Mus musculus: one gene and its partners. The protein of the gene in region 2 interacts with the protein of the main gene of each other region in a pairwise test. Links are inferred from orthologs where the notes say so. Each region holds a gene or a part of one and is shown on either strand. Other genes may lie near its edges. The genes, in order: Tnks2, Usp25, Rad23b and Syk.

What was found.
Region 1: the proteins of Usp25 (region 2) and Tnks2 interact in a two-hybrid assay, tested with the Homo sapiens proteins (2 studies listed by BioGRID and IntAct). The link is inferred for Mus musculus from reciprocal best matches to the Homo sapiens genes USP25 and TNKS2.
Region 3: the proteins of Usp25 (region 2) and Rad23b interact in binary tests that used the Homo sapiens proteins (3 or more experiments, as listed by UniProt). The link is inferred for Mus musculus from reciprocal best matches to the Homo sapiens genes USP25 and RAD23B.
Region 4: the proteins of Usp25 (region 2) and Syk interact in binary tests that used the Homo sapiens proteins (3 or more experiments, as listed by UniProt). The link is inferred for Mus musculus from reciprocal best matches to the Homo sapiens genes USP25 and SYK.

The regions. Positions count from the first base shown.
Region 1 is NC_000085.6:36,832,054-36,837,449, forward strand, and holds the start of Tnks2 (poly [ADP-ribose] polymerase tankyrase-2), read left to right. Parts: upstream 1-2,178; 5' UTR 2,179-2,484; coding exon 2,485-2,683; intron 2,684-5,396. UniProt on the Homo sapiens protein: Poly-ADP-ribosyltransferase involved in various processes such as Wnt signaling pathway, telomere length and vesicle trafficking.
Region 2 is NC_000082.6:77,012,152-77,017,887, reverse strand, and holds the start of Usp25 (ubiquitin carboxyl-terminal hydrolase 25), read right to left. Parts: upstream 3,820-5,736; 5' UTR 3,793-3,819; coding exon 3,748-3,792; intron 1-3,747. UniProt on the Homo sapiens protein: Deubiquitinating enzyme that hydrolyzes ubiquitin moieties conjugated to substrates and thus, functions in various biological processes including inflammation and immune response.
Region 3 is NC_000070.6:55,380,560-55,385,502, reverse strand, and holds part of Rad23b (UV excision repair protein RAD23 homolog B), read right to left. Parts: intron 4,515-4,943; coding exon 4,387-4,514; intron 3,024-4,386; coding exon 2,888-3,023; intron 1,917-2,887; coding exon 1,789-1,916; intron 94-1,788; coding exon 1-93. UniProt on the Homo sapiens protein: Multiubiquitin chain receptor involved in modulation of proteasomal degradation. Binds to polyubiquitin chains.
Region 4 is NC_000079.6:52,637,876-52,642,818, reverse strand, and holds part of Syk (tyrosine-protein kinase SYK), read right to left. Parts: intron 4,782-4,943; coding exon 4,572-4,781; intron 2,215-4,571; coding exon 2,025-2,214; intron 955-2,024; coding exon 814-954; intron 1-813. UniProt on the Homo sapiens protein: Non-receptor tyrosine kinase which mediates signal transduction downstream of a variety of transmembrane receptors including classical immunoreceptors like the B-cell receptor (BCR).

The DNA of each region.
Region 1 (5,396 bases), on a different chromosome or scaffold from region 2:
TAATTAATTTTTAATTAATTTTATGTTGGGTGTTTTGTCTGCACCATGTTTGTGCCTGCTGAGGGCCACAGATACCAGGATTGGTGCTATATGATTGTGCACCACCTTGTAGCTGCTGGGAATTGAACTCAGGTCCTAAGTAAAACAGTGCCCTGAACCACTAGACCATCTCTCCAGTCCCAATGTTTAGTTTTGTAAGGAACTACCAAGTGTTTCCTGTAATAATACACATTTTATGATCACATTAAGAGTGCCAAAACGATTCTAATTTGTCCATCTCACCAACATTTGTTGTTTGCTGTTTGTTTGCTTTTAGAACAGCCATCCTAATATGGTTTCTTTGTTAACTTCATTTCTCTAGTAATCAAGTGTTTTAAAAACAAGTTAGGCTGGGCTGTGGTGTTGTACGCCTTTAATCCCAGCACTTGGGAGGCAGAGGCAGACAGATTTCTGAGTTCAAGGCCAGCCTGGTCTACAGAGTGAGTTCCAGGACAGCCAGGGCTACACAGAGAAACCCTGTCTCGAAAAAGAAAAAAAGAAAAAAACAAAAACAGTTAGGGTTGAGGAGATAGATCAGTGAGTAAGTGATGCTGTATGATGTTGTTTAGATACACATATTGGGAGGAAATACATAAGCAGAAATCACTAAATAAAAAATTATAAAAATTGGGAATATATTTGGCAAGTCGATGAAATGAAGAAAAATGAGACAATCATAGTAGTAAGGTTCTAATCCTTAGGTATATTCATGAATAGTTATTTAGTAATAGGGATCAATTTAAATTTACACTAAGTAGTCTAAGAACATAATGGAATAAACATATAAGAAGGTACATTTACTAAAATGCTCAAGAAGTGTCCCTGCTTTTCTCCCACAGAAGTGAGTCAACGCTCCCTAACAAAAACTGGATTTCCTGAAAAACAGGTTAAGTAATTCACAGGGGAAATGCTTGTCAGCGTGCCAAAAGTCAGCACTTTCTTGCAAGCAAAATCTCTGTATTCCTTTCTTTCGGGTTCCTGAAACAAGATGTCACTACTACCTTAAACACAGCTAACATTCTTTCCAGGCTCCGCCCAACAGTTACCTGGCAACAGCCAGGTAGGCCTGGCTGTTTGTCCCCCTTCTCTCTCAGACTCTTCTCCTAACCCCTTTCTCCCTCTCTCCCATCCCCCCTCCCCCGTCTCTCTCCACGTGTTCCTGGCCGGCCTCTCTTCTTTTTCTCTCTTCCTCTGTCCTTCTCTGCCTCTACTCTCTTCTCTACTCCCCTTCCCATGCCCTAAATAAACTCGATTCTACACTACACCCGTATGGCTGGTACCTCAGGGGTAAGAAAGGGATGTTTCAGCATGGGCCTGCCCAGGAATCCTTCCCACCTTACCAGACCTGGCTCTACAAAACACATCCTTGTTGTTGTTGTTTTTTTTTTTTTAATAAAACACAATAAACACGAAAATGAATTGTGCACTTGTATTCTTTGATCAGAGAGAGAGAGAGAGAAACTTCGGAAAACTTTGATGTGTATGCTTTGTATCAGCACCTCGACCACATCCGGTGCAATGCTGATTTATGTATAGATCCTCGTCAGCGCTGAGCTAATAATTTACTATGGGAAGCGGAGCTAATCACAGCCACCCCACCCCCCAATTGTTGCTTTAGAATTGAGATGAACTTTCTTCGCTTTCTTGATTTATCTGGGGGCCGCTCATCCAAACTTCTCAGTAAGCGTAACGGATTCATTTCTGAGAAAACGCTTATAAGAAAAACAAAAGCAGATGCGGAGAGTTAAGGGAAGAGACACTGTAAAGAAGGCAGGAGGGGGAAGGGGTGAGAAATCTCCCAGGGGGAAGGTACGGAAGCAACACTGCAGAGATTTTCACGCTAAAACTTGCACAAGAAAATGCATAATCAGAACAAAACTTCCCAAGATTCGTCTTCGGTGTCTGAGCAATGAAACTCGTCTCGAGAAGTGTAGGCTTTAATAAAAGAAAAGGCAGCAAGACCTCTCGTTTTTAGCAGAGGCTCTGTAAAGATGGCGGTGGGCCGAAGCCCCTTCTCTTTCCGCAGCCAAAGGCTCTCCCTGCACATTTCCCACAAACCCCTCCGCGCGGCCCCGCTTGCCCAAACTGGCCCGGCCGGAGAGCAGCCACTGCGCACGCGCGAGCCGACGTCACGCGCGCTCCCAGGACCCGACCGAGCTGGCAGGAGTGGTCTCGGCCGCTTCCGCCGTCGCGTCGCTTCGGGGCTCGGCGAGCGGGTTCGCGCTGCCTCCACCGCGGTGGGGCAGCCGGGGCTCACGGAGCCGAGCCGGGGGCGCGCGGCGACGCGGCCATGGGACCGTGCCGACTCTGGTGACAGCGGGGAGCGGAGCGGCCCGGGCCCTGAGCGCGTCTCCTGCGGGGGGCCTCGCCCTCCTGCTCGCGGGGCCCGGGCTCCTGCTGCCTTTGCTGGCGCTGCTGCTGGCGGCGGCGGCGGCGGCCCGGATCATGTCTGGCCGCCGCTGCGCCGGCGGGGGCGCGGCCTGCGCGAGCGCCGGGGCCGAGGCCGTGGAGCCGTCCGCCCGCGAGCTGTTCGAGGCTTGCCGCAACGGGGACGTGGAGCGAGTCAAGAGGCTGGTGACGCCCGAGAAGGTGAACAGCCGCGACACGGCGGGCAGGAAGTCCACCCCGCTCCACTTCGCCGCAGGTAAACGCGGGCCCCGCGGCGCCTCCCGCACGCCCCACCTGCAGGCTCGGGCTTGCAGGCCGCAAGCCGCGCGGCGCTGCCCTGTCTCCGACCTTTCCCCAGGACTCTCACCCTGGCCGCCCGCCCTCCTCTCTCGGGGCTCGTGATGAGGGTGGGGTGAGCGTGCTCTCGGGAAGTTGTTTTTGAGGTTATGGGGTTTTTTGTTTGTTTGTTTGTTTGTTTGTGTGCTGGGAGGGGGGAAGCTTTGTTTTGTTTTACTGTATCAACAATACCTGCCCCGACTTCCGGTCTTATTACCCCGGAGGGCCTCTGCACACAAGAAAGGCTTAGTAGACCTTGTGATTTGAAAGAGTAATTATCTCCAAAAAATGGACCCATGTTTGCAAGTTTCATCGACACTCTTAGTAACCCCTTAAGTTCTAGCGGCCGTCATAAACTGAAATTTTAATTTAGGAGTTATTTTATTAGCTATTGGCTCATTAGAGTTAATTGGATTAGGTTTCTGGAGAGACTAAAACCGGAAATGGGCATGTTTGGGAGACCTGAGATCTACTTAGGTTGTGTGTGGGTGGCCTCTGCCTTACTCCCGCACAAGTCGGGATGGAAAGTGAGCTGAGAGACAAGATAGGACACGCACTTGAGCTTGGATCTAGGATTTTGAGTCATCCTGAGATTTATTGTAGATAGTTTGGAGTTACTTTTAACTACTGGGTTCTCTTTGTGGTACCAGCGTGTTGAAGTTTGCTTGTTGAGGTATTTATTTGAAAAGGCCAGGGATGGGAACCAACTTAATGATTATTCATGTTAAGGACAGTTTGTAACTTTTTAACCTCATAATCAAATAAGATCCTCTTAGCCTGGTAACATTTGATACAGTGTGCATCAGAATTGTTTAGCAGTTCTTTATATTTAAAAAAAAATTTTAGTTTCTTGTGTTCCTTAGGGGCAAAAATGGTAGACAAAAGAGTATAAAAAAAGATTTATTGTTTGTTTGTTTACAGGCATTGATTTTACAGTTCTTCCAATTGTAGGTCTGTTTGCTTTGACCTGTCCCTATTTTAAAATGTATGTACTGTCAGAAATCATGCCTCCTTAATTGATTGCCGGTTTGGGAGCAAGGGAAAAGTTTGGGAAAACCACAATTGGGCAGAAGAGAAATTTGCCTGTGGGCACTGAGAAGTGAGAGCATGAAGCCAAATCTCTGTTAGCAGTGTTGCCTTGCTTCAGCTAGTTTGAATTGTCTTGCTTGACCATTTAGCCAACCTATTTGGCAAATGGTCACAACCAAGTGCTAGATAATCCAAAGGGGTAATGTTACTTAGATTATGTACGCTTGATAAAAATAGCCAAGGTCGATCTTAGTTGCCACCTTTCAAGAATTTAATGTATTAGTGAGTTCATGTCTGAAAATAGTAGTATTTTGAGGTGCGGGTTGGGGACTTATGGTGTGACCTTGTTGCTCCCACACCATCCCACCCTCAGCTCTGCTCCAGTATGCCCCTCCCCCACCCACACGGATGGAATATAAGACCTTGCACATGCCAGACAAGTGTTCTGGCCTCTGAATGAGGTAGATTAGACCCTACCCCTGCCTCAACATATTAAGGAATATTTTACATGTATTTTATATTGTTTCTCCAGATTGAAATGGGAATTTAAATATTATAGAGAGCAATTCACCACTCAAAATTCACCTATATTGCCAGTTGTAGGTTGTAAAATTAAGAAGTTAAAATGTAAAAAGGAAAACATAAAATAATTACTAAAGATACTAGGGAGATGGCTCAGTGGATAAAGTACTTGCTTGCCTTGCAAACAGGAGGGCCTGAGTTGAGATCCCTAGCACCCACGTAAAAAGGCAGTTCTGTTGATGCACACTTATAGCCCCACACTAGGAGGTGGAGACAGAAGGATCCGTGGGACTTACTTGAAAAGCCATGAGCCCCAGGGTCAGTGCAGTGACCCTGTCTCAAAAATTAGATGGAGGAGAGCCATCGATGAAGATGCCTGCCCTGCCACCCACTCACACGCGCAGATACACCTAGCCTACCATATACACAGAAAAATAATCACTAAAGAATTGATATTAAGTCACAGTTTTAAGAGTCTTACATTTAAACCCTGCATAAAAAAATAAGGAGCTTTAAAAAAAATGGCTTTGTGAATTTTAAAATCCAAATTATTAGATTAATGTGGCACTAATCACTAATGAATTTATTCCTTTTCTGGATATGGAACTAGAACCTTGCTTGGCCCTACTAGACATATGTGCACCTGCTGAGCTATAGTCTCAATCAGCCCTGGTTTTTTTGTTTTTTGCTTTTTTTTAAAGATTTATTTATTTTCATTTATATGAGTACCCTGTAGCTATCTTCAGACACACACCAGAAAAGTGCATTGGATCCCATTACAGATGGTTGTGAGCCACCCTGTGGTTGCTGGGATTTGAACTCAGGGACCTTCGGAAGAGCAGTCAGTGCACTTAACCCCTGAGCCATATTGCCAGCCCTGTTTATTTTTAAGTAAAGTTGCTCACTAGCATTTTCTTTGTGAGTTACCATTTGTGTTTATGCAAGCATACTTTTGGATCCTCCTCTGCAGGTGGTGGTACTTGATAATTGCCTGACCAAGCAGTTACTTGTGTTTTTATTTTATAGAGAATTCATTCTTTTAGAGAAAAAAAAAAAAAAAAAAAAAGAGCCCAGCAGTGGTG
Region 2 (5,736 bases):
TAATAAACAGTAAGCTAGTGGCCAATGCTGGATGCGTTCCTTAGTCACTTTCTCCCGTAGACTTGGAGACTCTCACTGGACGTGATGCTCACTCCATCTTTCCAAATGGGTGCTGCTATGTCTGCTTCTTACATGGGTGCTGGAGACCAAACACAGGTTCTCATGTTTGGGCAAAGGACATTTTAGTGGCTGGCCTAGCTCTTTGGCCCCCAAGGCAGTATTTTTTTAGGGAACTGTTTTACTGCTTTTGAATTGTGGCATGGTGTGTCTAGAAAATATGATTGGTAACCATTATAAAAAATTATAAATATCTTTTTTTCCTTTTCCCCTCCTCCTTCTCCCTCTCCCCTACTCCTCTCAAGACTACTACAGTTTAACTTGCTATGTAGCCAGCTGGCCTAAAATGAGAACATTTCTGCCCCAGCTTGCTCAGTGATGGACATACCTGGATACTTATGGCAAAACTAATAAGATTTTTTTTTCTGACTACTGTTTTTGTATTTATACACAGAGCAAACAATGATAGCACTTTTTGAATAATCTGTTGTCTTGACTCTTTTCAATTGAAGAGGATATTTATGCCTCTATATATCCTCATACTACATTTAAAAATAATAATAAATGCCCACTTAGACCCGTTAAACACTCAGATCTGAAGAAGTTTCTCGTGTCTACAAAGTGTAAAGTTTTCTAAGAAGACTTAGAGACATTTCATGAGTTGCCCAAGGTCACAGAGCGCAATTTTGATCTAATCCACGTCCTGTCTCGTTCCTTCTACCACTTACTTTCCTGGATGCTTGTCAAGCCCTCTTTGTTTCTCAGGAACCAAATGTCAGTTCTTACTTAGGGATCTAAGGAGTCACTCTACTTGCTTTCCCTCCAACAACCATTCACATTAACTATTGACTGAGTCCTACTATGGGACAAGAACAGTTCTAAGTCCTCTTGTGCAGCCGAACAGGTAACTCACTCACGAGGCTGCTTTCCTGGTGAAGGGCTCAACTCTAAGTCACCTTGATTCCTGGGAGGAAGTTACCAATCCTTCCCTAATGAACTGGGATTTGGAATGTGAATGTATGTATCTAGTTTCTTCTAAGATATAATGATCCGACAGCAAGGTAAATAGCAAGCACAAAGGATGAAGATAGAGGGCCAAGAAAACAATAACCGCAAGTTTACCTGTACTCCACACATTGCCAAACCCTCTCGTATAACATCTCAAACCTCTCAAACGCTCTCTCTGCAGGTTTCCAACTTTTCCTAACTCCTGGTTTGGCAAACTTCAGGAATTAAGCAGAGACTACAGGAAGGGAAGACACTGCCCCTTCGAATTACATTGTTGCACCTTACTTAGATTTAAAAAAAAAGAAAAGAAAAGAAAAGAAAAAAGAAAAAAGAAAGAAAAGAAACACAAAGTTTTGTGTACTGTTGCTTTAAAAAGATACTAATCTTACAGCTCTTTACAATAAAAAGGAAGAAAAATCTTGAAAACAGAAAATCATTTCAACAACTATAATGGCCATTTACTTAAAATTTGTCAACAGATCTGCACACTTTTTAGAGAGGAGAAAAAAAAAAGAAAAGAAAAGAAAACTGCAAAAATTCTATCTACACAGCAGCCTGCTCCTGATAGCCCTTCCTTTCCCTGACAGTCTTTGAAGCTTCTAAGTGAAATTAGTTTCACTTTTGTTTCTTAAGTATAGAGTTCACTTCCTACTTCTTAAGGCAAAGTCCTAGCCCTAGTTTCTAGCGTCATTTTAAAACTTCAACTTTGAGTTACATTGTTTCAAAAGAATTTAAAACCATACTGTTTGGCCCTGTTCTAATACTGGTCACAAAATAACAGTGTATTAACAAGGCAAAGGAACACATTTAAAAAACTACAAATGTAGTTCAGTTGGTAGAGTTCTTGGCTAGCATGATGAGGCCCTAGGTTCAGTCCCCAACACCATTAAAAGTAAATATTCTGGGTGTACAAAAATATATGATGTTGCTCTAAAAGCATTCACCAATTATCAGTGAAATGATTTAACATACTCAACACATGCTAAAAACAGCATCACAATGTTAATATTTTGAATTAGAGAATATTCTCTTAGGGGAGAGGAGGCTTATTAAGCATGAATATTGGACTAGAAAACAAAGTTAACTTTCAGTAATTTGATTCTTGATTCTACAGACTTATGTATACAGTTCTGAGCCATCAAGGTAGTTATCTGACTATGCAAAGAAGTGGTTTAGTCAAAACGAAAGACAAAACCCATAAAGTCCTTGCAATCTTGAAGTTTAAGAGAAGCAAAAAAGACAGCAACTTTTCCCACTTTGAGATAAAGACGTTTTAAAATGCAAAATGAGTATAAAGAAAATGCTACTGAGCCTATTGCTTAACATGCCAAAGATCCCATGACCTTCCAACCAAAACTACAGCACACATTCAACATCAACATCTAAAGATTATAGTGTTCTAGGAACAACATACAGAATTGGGAGGCCAACTGTTTTCTTCGTTATTGTTATTCAGTCTTGAATTCTTCTGCCACATTACAAACTACATCACAGTTCACCATAATCGTCTCAATGTGCAAGAAGCATAGACTAAAATAGGCTCCAAAACCAACTTTAACCAAAGTGTCTAAAATAACAATGCACTATCCCTACTTTCCAACATTCTCTGACATCTTTGGTTATCTCAAGGAACATAAAATGCTAAAACTATTTTAATGACAAAAAGAAAAAAACGGGGGGGGGGGGCTGTTTGAAGGTATTGGTCTATTTTTTAGTACAACAGGCCTCACTTTAAAGACAAGCACAGGTAGGCTTTACAGCAAGTACCTAGTGTCAAAACTACAGCAGGGTGTGGCATCCATTACTCACACCGATGAGCCAAAGGAGGCTCTGGCTGTTCACTGTATACCTAATTGCTCCTACAATTAGAATTCAACTAAGCCAACATTTCCCCGGTGCTCAAAATGCTTTTCACACCAATAAGGGGGGAGGGGGGAGGGCAGAACAAGTAATGACCGTCTGCTCTTCAGGACATGGAGCAAGCTATGCTGGAGCTTTTAAAGATTCTTAAAGTAAAACCTAGAACTAGCAAGATACTGTTCGAGAAACAATATGTGATGACCCCCCTAACTCTGCGTGAAACTGATGCTAGAGTAAAGAACGAACAAGAGAGCAAGGTCAAACTTAGGGGACAAAAGATTTGAGTAACAGCCATAAAGGTCTCCTTACGCGCGAGATACTTTCTAGATCCAAGAGAGAATAAAATAAAGAAAAGAAAGAATAACCAACCAAACACTCTACTTGTACAGATTCCACCCTGGGTCGATGCGATGTACCTGCCCTGGAAGACAGGTAATTCGTTTTGGGGAGGTCCGGTTTTTTTTTCCCCAGAACAGCAGGCCTGGCACAATAAGACCTCCGAAAGAGAAACTGTCCAAAAGGGGTGACAAGTGACATTCTTGCAGAAGAAAAGGGACTGGAAAAGGAAGCGAAGGAGAAGAAAGTTTAATTACAAAGCCTGGCAGAGTGAGTACTGGAGGAATGCGGGGGTCACTCTGGGGACGCGGCGCCGTCGGTTCTGGGAGAGCAATCCGCAGAAGGGAGTGGACGCGAAGCCTCTCACTACTGCACACCCCGCTCCGCACGCAGCCCCGCGGGACCGAGCGCGACGCTCCCGGAGTGGCCCGGCCGGCCGGGAGGCCACGCGGCCCGTCGAGGAGCGGCGACCAGCCCGCGCCTCACCTTCTGCGCCGCGCTCTGCTGCAGCACATTCTGCTCCACGGTCATGGCCCCCGCGGCGGCCCCGCCTGTCGCGCTCTACCGGGCCCGGGGCAGCGACGCGGACGGCCCGGGAGGACGGCGCCCCCGCCAGCCGGGCGCGAAGGCGATGGCGGCGGGCGAACGCGGGCCCCGCGGGCAAGCGGCGAGACGCTACCGGAGAGCGCCACCGCGGCCGCCTCAGGTCCTCTGCGCCCCGATCCTCAGCGCCGCTGAGCCGCGGCGGCCCGGCCCATGGGCGCAGGCGACGGAGAGCACGATCAAGCCGGGCCGCGTCACGCGTTCGCACTCAGCTTCGCCTGACCGCTCCGGGGGGACCACTGCGGGCCGGCGGCAAGCGGACGGAGGGAGCGGCCACCCGGAATGGCGCTGTCCTCCGGCCGCCGCGACTCCGCCTCCAGCCCCTCCCTCGCCGCGGTCACCGCCCCCGCCCCGCCCTCCTGCCCCGCCCCCGCTCTGCCCCGCCCCACCCGTCCTAACCCTACATTGTGACCCGCGGGAGCGGAAGGAGGGGCTGTGTTGCTGCCCCGCCCCCTGGTGGGCCCCGCCCTCCGTCTAAGCTCCTCTCAGCGCGCGGGCTGGACGGCCAGAACCGCCCATCCTGCAGGTTACTGTGCACCATTTAAGGCTCTTGCTAAACTCTGACATTGCGACCCCCCGACCCCCAGTCGAGGCTAGAGCCATAGGACGGTATACCAGATCACCTTCCTGTCTAACGGTCTCCAAAACAATCAACGTCCTTCCATACCTGTAATGTCCCAAAACCTGGGCGGGCCCAGAACTCCAGCTATTTCCTATGTCACCCAAGCCTTTCTAGGAATTTCACAAGCCATGAACCTGCTGGAAGAAAAAAGTCAAATAAGCAGAACGCTGTTAGAAGTCCTTCTGGACTGTACTTTTCTCAACTATTCGTTACATACATCAGGACTGACATTCTGTGTTTATTTCATGCACTGGAATGTGTGACAGTCACTGCTAGACTGGGGATTTAAGGTTTATTTACTGAAGAGAATCTAAATGAATAGACATAAGGCAAACAACATTATGAAAGAATCACTGCCTAGATGATGCATAATTCTAATATCCCTGTTGCCAAATTAAACAAACGATTAACTACCGTATGTGGAATAGTCTACTGTAAACGGAATTGGAGGAAAAGCCTAACAGTAAGTAAGAAACCTGGAAGTAAAATATCTTCAATTGCACCAGCTAAACTAGGGACAGAGTAAGACCGAGACCCAGGGGAGGGTAGATTAATGAGCACAGGGTTACAAATACAATAATACAGTGCACATACAAGTTAGACTGTAATTTAATCCACGGCAAGAAAAGCAGGCTTGGTAAAGAATCCAAGAAATACCAGGTCTTATATCATCATAATAACTCGGAAAAAGTCTTGTAATAACTCTTTGTACTTTATAACCACATCTAATCTTCCTTTGGGATGTCTTCAACCCTCTTTTGTGATTCCTTCCTTGTATTTGTCATGTTCGTTTGACAAATTTTAAATTTTGACTTCATTCATGGTCCTAAATCCTTGACTACAAAGGTTGTGAAATGATTGGAGGTGAGGAATTTTATGGATACTGCAAGAATTCCAGAGCACATGCTGTTTATGAGAACACAGACCCGGAGAGCACGTGTCTGAGAATGGACCTCAGAGCTACGTTTCCACAGTTAGAGACCTCAGCGCTGTAACTTCTCATTCACAGAGTAGCTTTGTGATTCTCCACAGGGGAGAGAGTTTTACAAGGTCATTTTCTTCCATTCAAAAGTACAAAAATTACCTGAGATTTGAGATACTGCTCACTAGTAGTAAGCATGGAAGCACATAGCTACACATTTGATCTTCAGGACCACTGCTTTTAAAAAGTTAAAAATTAATGTGAAAAAACTATTACAATGGTTTTTTTTTAAATCTATTGCCAGATATTCAACTTTAACTTCAGGAAT
Region 3 (4,943 bases), on a different chromosome or scaffold from region 2:
TCCTCCGCCACCACCTCCTCCACCTTGACTGCCTGCTTCCTGAACTGGTTCATTCAGCATCTGAATAAAATGCTCCTGGTGTTGGCTAATTTGCTGTAGTGATGGAGAAATGGAAGAAATAACACATAATTACTGTCTGTGGAAAAAAAAGCAAACCTAAATAAAAACAAGAAAAAGATAAGCCAGGCACGGGGAGTCACACTTTAATTCCAGCACTGGGAAGGCAGAGGATCATCTTAGGCATGGCTGAGTCATATAGTAAATTCAATTCCAGACCAGCTCTATCTAAGAGTCAGAAAGAAAGTTAGTTTTAAGTGATTTCTTATATTAAGAAATCACTTAAAATATAAATATAAGAAACACAACAGTTCTGAAAGGTAAATGATGGAGAAAATACAAATTCTTCCAAAAATACTCCACTCCCAAAACAACATTAAAGAGCTGGGGGTTGGGGGGTTGGCAGACGCCTTTAATCCCAGCACTCGGGAGGCAGAGGCAGAGGCAGGCGGATTTCTGAGTTCCAGGCCAGCCTGGTCTACACAAAGTGAGTTCCAGGACAGCCAGGGCTACACAGATAAACCCTGTCTAGAAAAAAACAAACAAACAGAGCTGGGGGGGGGGGGGCAGTGTGATGGCTCAGTGAGTAAGTACACTGACTGCTCTTCCGAAGGTCCCAGGTTCAAATCCCAGCAACCACATAGTGGCTCACAACCATCCTTAATGAGATCTGACGCCCTCTTCTGGTGCTGTCTGGAGACAGCTACAGTGTACTTATTTATAATAGTAAATACATCTTTGGGCCAGAGTAAGCGGGCCTGACTAGGCCAGACTGGAGCAAGCAGGGCTGACCAGAGCGAGCAGAGGTACTAAATTCAATTCCCAACAACCATATGAAGGCTCACAACCATCTGTACACGTACAGTGTATATATAATAAATAAATAAATCTTAAAAAAGAAAAAGAAAAAGAAAGAAAGAAAGCAAAGCAAAGCTAAGCTAAGCTACCATGGGGGCTGGAAAGATGGCTCAGAGATGGTTAAGAGCACTGACTGCTCTTCCAGGGGTCCTGAGTTCAATTCCCAGCAACCACATGGTGACTCACAACCATCTGTAATGGGATCTGATGATGCCTTCTTCTGGTGTGTCTGAACACAGCTACAGTGTACTCATATAAATATAATAAATCTATCTTTAAAAAAAAAAACAAAAAGGGGGGCTGGTGAGATGGCTCAAATCCCAGCAACCATATGGTGGCTCACAACCACCTGTAACAAGATCTGATGCCCTCTTCTGGTGTGTCTGAAGACAGCCACAGTGTACTTACATATAATAAATAAATACATCTTTAAAAAAAAAAAAAACTAAAAAAGAAAGCAAGCTACCATGGACCTAAGTAGAGAACTTACTCTTCATGTACATATTGTATTTTCCACACTAATAGGCTATTCTGTGCTGTATAAAACTCAACTATTTTCTGGTCTGAGCATGAAGTATGCCCATAGGTAAGTTTCTAAGAGGCAATGTTCCACTCATAGCAATCTTATGAAAAGCAATTTCCAAAGTTAAACACCCTCTCAGATTCTCCAATACATTAATTAATGTACCTGGGGAATCTGGAAGAGGAAGTAAGCCTTTCCCAAACTAAATTAGTTAACCTATGTAAGCTGATCAATCGTTCTATCTCAATTCGTTCTTCACTATGCCTACGTAGAACACAGGCCATGGGTTTAACTGTGGTACAAAGTAAAACATTCCAATCCCATTTTCCAAATTAACATGGATCAGTCACCTGCAGCAGCTGAGGGTTCTCCCGACCTATCTGCTGTAGCAAGGCTGGCAGCAAAGAAGGATTCTGCTGGATAATTTGTCTCATCTGTTGAAACTGAGGCTGATTCCGTAAAAATTCAAGGGGGTGGCCTGAAATACACACATTTCAAAACAATAGCAATAAGTACATGTAACAGCAAGCAGCTAAACCATTCGGACAGAAAACATTATATATGAAAAGGACCTGCCTTCGAGTGTTATAGAGAAAGCAAGTCACAAACTCTCCAAACCCCAATGTGCCTGCTACCTTTGCTCTAGACAAGTTATACTAATACTAGCAAAGGATAGAACACTGAGAGGCTAGCCCACCCACAATGCCCTGTGAGCCACCACACAAAAAATGGTGTCCTATATCAAAATAAAAGGTTGTCATATTATTGCAGTTGCTCACAAATAAGAAACATAAGCATGTTTGTGGACATTCAGTCCTATAATTATGTGTAATAAGTGAGACTCAGGGACCAAAATTACCTAGTAGGTGGTGAATAGGAAATACTAAAATCTGAGCCAGAACAACGCCTCCTCTTTCTCATGAGTCCCAACTGTTTGCCAAAATGAGCAAGAAGCTATCAATTCAAAACAAAAAACCCCAGCTTTTTCGAAGTTAGCAGCTCAACCACCACCACCTCCACCACCACCACCGTTTTTTGAGACAGTGCCTCTCTCTCCCTCTATGTACCCTGGCTGTTTGAGAACTCTGCTGCGTAGAGAATGTTCCCTCAAACTCAGATATGTGTCTGCCTTTGCTTCCCAATGCTAGGATTAAAGGAGTGTGCCTCTACACCATGCCTGAAATGATACTTTCTTAGCAAGGTGAGGCATCCACATAAAACGGACACCGAATTCAATCTGTGACTAGGCGTTTCTAAGAGTGAACTAGTAGTGTAGCTTTGACAACACTGGTGTACACTAAAAGCCAGAGGCTCTCTTTACTGTGAGTAAAGAAAAAAAAACATAAGGTTTATTCAAGCATTCTGGGAATGAAGCTTAACCACTGAAGTATTTCGTATTAAATAATCTTATACTAAAAACTCAAGACCATTTGTCATTTGTCACTTTACCTCCAGAAGTGGTTGTTGTAGTTGCTGTCGTGGTTGCTGCAGCTGCAGCTACTGCTGGAGACTGAGGAGTTCCAGTACTCACAGCCTGAGGAGGAGGGTCAACCACAGCCTGACTTTCTCTATCTCCAGGGATTCCCTGCCAACACAATTTCCAAATTTTAAGATCTCTCTCCCTCTCCTCCCTCCCTCCTACACACCACACACACACACACACACACAATTAGAAACAGCAAAACATCTGTAGCTTATTGAACATTGTCTGTGTACAATAGAAGCCTGCTTATGAAATCTTACAAGTGGCCCAGATACAATGCACTGTAGCATTTGCATTACAAGGTAGCATTGGTCAACGGAATTTTCCAGTGACAGACAGATGCACTATCCAGTAACAGCTACAACCCATGTCAACTTAAACTCTAAGAGTATCAGTAAGTAAGGTGTTCAGTGCCCATGAGTTCCAGGTGACTTTTGCTGCAGAGGTTTTCATAATCTGACATTCCACTGTGAATGTCACAGTTCCACAAAGAACTGTGTTTGCATGAATCAGGCAACTGATGGACAAGCAACCAAGTCTCCTCTACTGACCTAGTGCTTCTAAACAAGTATCACCTAGAAAATGTCACACATTAAAAATAAACAAATAGACAAAATGGTGTGTAATGTAAATAGTTTACATTTCAAATGATGCTCTTCTTATGTTTCAAGCACATCTTGAAATTATTACAATTTAAAAGGTACACTCAGAGTTTCTACTTTGATGCAGAAGATTTAAACAAATGGCAGTTATACCCATTTAAAAATCCATCAAACTCTTGCTGGGCGTGGTGGTGCATGCCTTTAATCCCAGCACTTGGGAAGCAGAGGCAGGTGGATTTCTGAGTTTGAGGCCAGTCTGGTCTACAAAGTGAGTTCCAGGACAGCCAGGGCTACACAGAGAAACCCTGTCTCGAAAAACCAAAAAAAAAAAAAAAAAATCCATCAAATTCTTAGACTTTAACAGATGGTAATGAGTTCATTTCCTATTAAACCAAAGCCAAATTCACTTAAAGAAGAAAAAGCAGTGGCCAATGGGGGCTGCACTAAAGCACTCAAAACAGCTATTGTTCACGTGGAATTACAAGACTATTAGCAGATTCAGGGTCCAGAATGTCCATCAAATTCTCAAACAGAAAAAGTTCATGCTGCTTCCTCAGAGGATAACTAAACTTTTGCCCTAAGTAATTCCTAACAGATCTAAGGCCTGTTATTACAGAGTCACCTTCAGCAGAGCCTCACTAGTGTGAAAGGTACCACTCCAAAGAAAAACCACTTCATAAATCACCTCACATCATTCTCTAAATAAATCATTTCAGAATCTTTCCCAGAAGGTTCCATCTTACAACACAAAATGTTACCATTGGATGGGAACTTTCTAGCATGACGCTATCCACTGGATTGTTAACTCATCTATTAAATTTTCTGAAAGAGTCTGAAAGAGACAAGTAAAACACACTTCTCACCATTAGAAGATATTCCACAGCTCTGTCAGGGTTGTTGAAGCTGGCTCTCAGGGCTGCAATTACTTGTTCTCGTTCATAGCCCATTGACATGATCTCAGTTACCATATTCTCATAAGACTGACCTGTCACTAAACCGGTGTGTGGGGGACAAGGGGAAGAAAAGTACAGGAACATTCAACAAACATTCTCTGCATAGTTCTTGACTGCATAATGTCTATGGTCCATAGACTGCTAGGCTAGGCTAGACAATAAACAATGTAAGAAGTCCAAGTCCATGTTCTAACCCCCAGAACCTACCTAACCTATAAATATGTATGATAAAGGGAAGTGACCTTCCAGATAGACCCAATGTCATCAACAAGGGTCCGGGTCCTTAAAAGTGGGACAGAAACAGGGTTAGAGACAATAACGACAAAAGCAGGACCAGAGTTCTGCTGTTGTTTTTTTTGGCAGGTGGAGAAAAGGCCTGAAAGCTTCTAGAAGTCATAAGGAACTAGGCTCTACCAAGTCTCCAAATAACATACAGTCTTGCTGATTCCTTGGTATCAGTCAGCAAG
Region 4 (4,943 bases), on a different chromosome or scaffold from region 2:
TTCATTTAGGGAATGAGCTTTATGGGACACTTCATTTGTGACAACCCACTGAGTGACACCCTAGGATCTGCCTGCACCCAGGAACCCCCACACCTCCCACCTCCTATACACACACACACACACACACACACACACACACACACACACACATGGGATAGTTCAGGCTGCAAAGTGCTCACCTTGCAAACACAAGAACCTGAGTTAAATCCCCTAAACCCATGTAAAAATACAAGCGTGGTATTGAATGTTTGTGTGCCCAGTGCTGGGTAGAGAGACAGGCAGATCCCTGGGGCTCACAGGCTAGCCAGCCTGGCCTATTGGGTGAGCTTAGGCTAATGAAAACACTGTCTCAAAAAGCAAAGTGGAGAGTCCCTGAGGAATGACACCTGAGGATGGTCTCTGGGCTACACACACACACACACACACACACACACACACACACACACACAATGTGTTTGCACATACACAGGTGTGCACACACATGAGAACACACACGCTTACAACTAAAATACTTGATGTCATCCATCCGTATCACCATTTCCACTTAACTCTCAGGAAGGATGGCCTGTGCCTGGTGCACGTATGTGTGTAGCACAGTGAGAATGCATTCACTCAGTATCACATGTCATTCTCAAGTGAGTACAAGCGTAAGTTAGGTTGCACTAGCCGCCCACTGTTAGAAGGTGATGGGAGACCCCAGGGTGTCCTCAGATTCCAGGGGTTCAGGTTCTTGTGGCAATAACCCCATACTGAGGGATGGTTTCTTAAGTCCAAGAGGCTGAGACACAAAACACACAGCTAAGCATGGCTCACTCTGTAGGGCTTCTGCCCATAGGAGAACGCTTCCCACATCAGGACTCCGAAGCTCCAGACGTCACTCTTACTGGAGAACTTGTAGTAGTTGATGCATTCGGGGGCGTACCACTTCACGGGCCACTTCCCGTGGGTCTGGGCCTGGAAGCAGAGTGGACACTCTGTGATGCGTTAAGTCAGGTGTGCACACCCCGATGCACAAAGGAGCTGGGTTTAAGGAGTGGGGTAGGAAAAAGCCTCTGCTGAAAGTCACAGTGTCAATTCAGTGAAAAGGACTCGGAAAAATCTCTCAAGGATCCACCAGTTTTGGGGCCAAGGAAGTGGCTCAGTTAGCAGTGGTTTCCTTTAACACGCATAAAGCCCCCAGTAGTTCTCAGCCTATGTAGTGACCCTTTTGGGGGTCACATATCAGACACCCTGCATATCAGTCGCGAAATTACAGTTATGAAGTAGCGATGAAAGATTTTAGGTTGGGGGTCACCACAACACGAGGAACTGTGTTAAAGGGTCATAGTATTAGGTAGACTGAGTAACCCAATCGTGGTGGTGAATACTTATAACCCCAGCACTCAGGAGACAGATGCCAACCTGGGCTCCATGAAACCCTGCCTAAGAAAAGAAAAATCAATTTGTTTGATTTGTATGTTTCAAAGCAAGTTGACGCAAGCATTTAGAGGCCAGCAAGATGGCTCAATGGGTAAGGTGCCTGCTGCCGAATCCGAAGATCAGAGTTCGATTCCTCCGATATGCATGGTAGATGGAGAGAATCAACTTCTGTAAGTTGTCCTCTGCTCTCTATTAGAACACTACGGCACACATGACTCCATACACAGAGCAAGATAAGTAAATGTAAAACGAAAAAAAAAAAAAAAAAAACCACCACCACCACCAAAAAACTCAACATAAGATCCTAGTCTGAAAAAGATTCCAGTTGAGAAACATTACAGTATTTTTGGTTTGTGTTTCTTGATGGACAGAATCGATCTTAAGAATACTTTTCTCCAAGGTTACTAGTGAGATTTCTACCATAGTAAAATACAGAGAGCACACATTTATCTTTCTATATCTTTATAACCTGCAACCTTAACTATGCATGGAAGCTGTCCCCTCAGCTGCTCTGTGAGCCTGTACTGAGCTCTCAGCCTGCTCCGTGAGCCTGCACAGAGCTGTTTCCTCTCCCTGTTCTGTGAGCTTGCACCGAGCGCTCCTACCTTGTAGTAGTTTTCATCAGCACGCAGGGCTTTGGAAAGACCGAAATCGCTGATCTTGGCATAGTGCTGTGTGACCAGAAGCACGTTCCGCGCAGCCAGATCTCTGTGCACAAAGTTGCTCTCTTCCAAATACTTCATCCCCATGGAAACCTGGTGAACCAGCTCTATGATGTTCTTATCCTTAATGTGCCTAGAATCACACGACATCATTACCAAGAGTGGACGGCGGCCATTCCAAACACACAGCCGTGTCCCCCGAGTACATGGAAGAAGGGTCGGTCCACTCGTTCCTTCTTTGTCGACAACAGGACAGGCTGGGAAGATGACTCAGGGCGAGGACAGTTGCTGCGTGCACAACCTGAGGACCTAAGTTTCGATCCCCAGAAGTGATGGGAGAAAGTTGAGTGTGGTCACCTGTGCTGTAATCTCAGCACTGGGAGGGGATGGGGACAGGAAGAGGCGGAGGCTTGCTGGCTATCAGAATAACCAAAACCACACCAAATCAAACCACGCCAAACCAAACAGGCAGGACTTTCTGTTTGTGGGAGAACCTTTTTTGTTTGTTTGTTTGTTTGTTTTTGACAAGGTCTCCCTCTGTAGCCCCAACTAGCCTGGAATAAACTGTGTCGATCAGACTGGCCTCAAACTCACAGAGAGCCACCAACCTCGGCCTCTTTGGTGTTGAGATTAAGGGTCTGTGCTACCACACCTGGCTGTGTTTCGAGGGAATAAAGCAGAGAGTGATTGAGAAGGACACACACAGTGGCCTCTCCTGGCCTCTGCACGTATGCATGGGCATGCATACCCATGTACATGTGCATACACATATACACATACACACATGTGCATACACATATACACATACACACACTATATGATGAGTGTGCTTCATTTTCAGGCATGCTTTGAGATGGACAAAAATTCATAGCGCTATGGAGAAAGCTTTTTAGGAAAGCGCTCATCCTGCAAGCAAGAGGACTTGAGTTTGATGCCTGGCGCCCTCGTGAAATAAAAGCCAAACATGGCGGGCGGCCTGCACTTGTAATCCCAAAGCCGGGTAAGTGAAACGGGTGGATTCTTGGTGTTCCCTGCCCAGAAAGTCTAGCTAAACTGATGAGCTCTGGCCCATGAGGGACCTCTGTCTCAGAGGAAGCAGATGGTATTCTAAGGGATGGGCATGGGTTTGGCTTGACCTTTGGCCTCCACCTGCTGCACATGCTCAAACTCACACATCCATGTTGGAAATGATGACGAAAAGCTGTACAGAAGGAACCCCGGCTCAGAGGAATCGGGGAGTTACTCTATGTTGACCGCAGCATTAGAGCACCTATGTCTGGACCAGAATCAACGAACTGCTGCTGCCTCTTCAGATGCAGGCACTCAAGAGGTCGGCCAGACGAGACACAGATGGTGCCCCAGGAACATGTTTGTTCCAGGTGTTTACCAAAGAAGAATGTTCTGCCTGCTGGTGGGCAATGCCCTGTCCACACACATTGAGGATTTTATCACTGGACAGGGCTAGGAAGGTGCCTTAGTTGGTAAACTGTTTGACTTATAGGGATGAAGCCTGAGTTGGGACCCACAGTGCTCATATAAAAGCCAGGTATGCCAGTGAGAACCTGTAATCCCTGGGGCTCTGTTTGGCTGAATTGGTGAGCTCCGGTGTTAGTGAGAGACCTTGTCTCACGAAATAAGGCAGAGAGCTAACAAGATAGTTCCTTGTCTCACGAAATAAGGCGGAGAGCTAATGAGATAGTTCCTTGTCTCATGAAATAAGGCGGAGAGCTAACGAGATAGTTCAGTGGTTAAGAACGCCTTCTGTTCTTTTTTCTTTTCTTTTCTTCTTTTTTCTTTCTTTTTTTTTTCTCCTTTTTGGTTTTTTTTCGAGACAGGGTTTCTCTGTGTAGTCCTGGCTGTCCTGGAACTCACTTTGTAGACCAGGCTGGCCTCAAACTCAGAAATCCACCTGCCTCTGCCTCCTAAGTGCTAGGATTAAAGGCCTGTGTCACCACTGCCTGGCTACACGTACTGTTCTTGCAGAGGACCGGAGTTTGGTTCCCAGCACTTATGTTGGGAGGCTCACAAGTGCTGTAAGCCCAGCTCCGAGGGATCTGACCAGCTCCTCTAGCCTCCATAAGTATCTGCGTTGTGTGGCACACACTCACACCAACATTCACATAAATAAAAAAAAAAAATTAAGTTGGAGACTGAGAGAGGAGAGAGGGTGATCTCCAATATTGACCTCTGGCTTCCACATAAACACATCCACACAGGTGCACACCCTCAAAGATGTACACACACACACACACACACACACACAGAGAGAGAGAGAGAGAGAGAGAGAGAGACACGAAGAGAGACAGAGAGACAGAGACTCAGAGACACAGAGAGGAGAGGGAGAGAGAGCTTCCCCTAGAAATCAGGCCCGGCACAGCCCAAACTCGGGGGACAGGGCGTGTGTGGGGGCGGGGCCCCGGCACAGCCCAAACTCGGGGGACAGGGCATGTGCGGGGTGGCACCGCACACAACTCGCATGCCCCAGGTCACCTGTTCTGCTGCAGGTACTTGTTGAGCGGCCCCAGCTCCGCCATCTCCATCACCAGCATCCAGGACTCCGCCTCGCAGATTCCGATCATGCGCACAATGTAGGGGTTGTCCAGCTGCTGCATGACGTTCGCCTCTGCCAGCAGCTCGTCCTTCAAAGCCGGGTCGTTGGCCTCGTTCTTCAGGATTTTCACAGCCACGGTTTTCACAACTCTGTGACACAGATTGTAACTTGTGAGAAACTTTCCAAACTGCCTAGAGGTCCTCTTCTCTGTAGTCACATTGTGTGTGTGTTGGGGGGAGGGGGGTGGAGGGGAATGGTGCTGACACCCGCTGCCCAATGAGAATCTCTTAAAGCCATTCAGAAAAACAAAA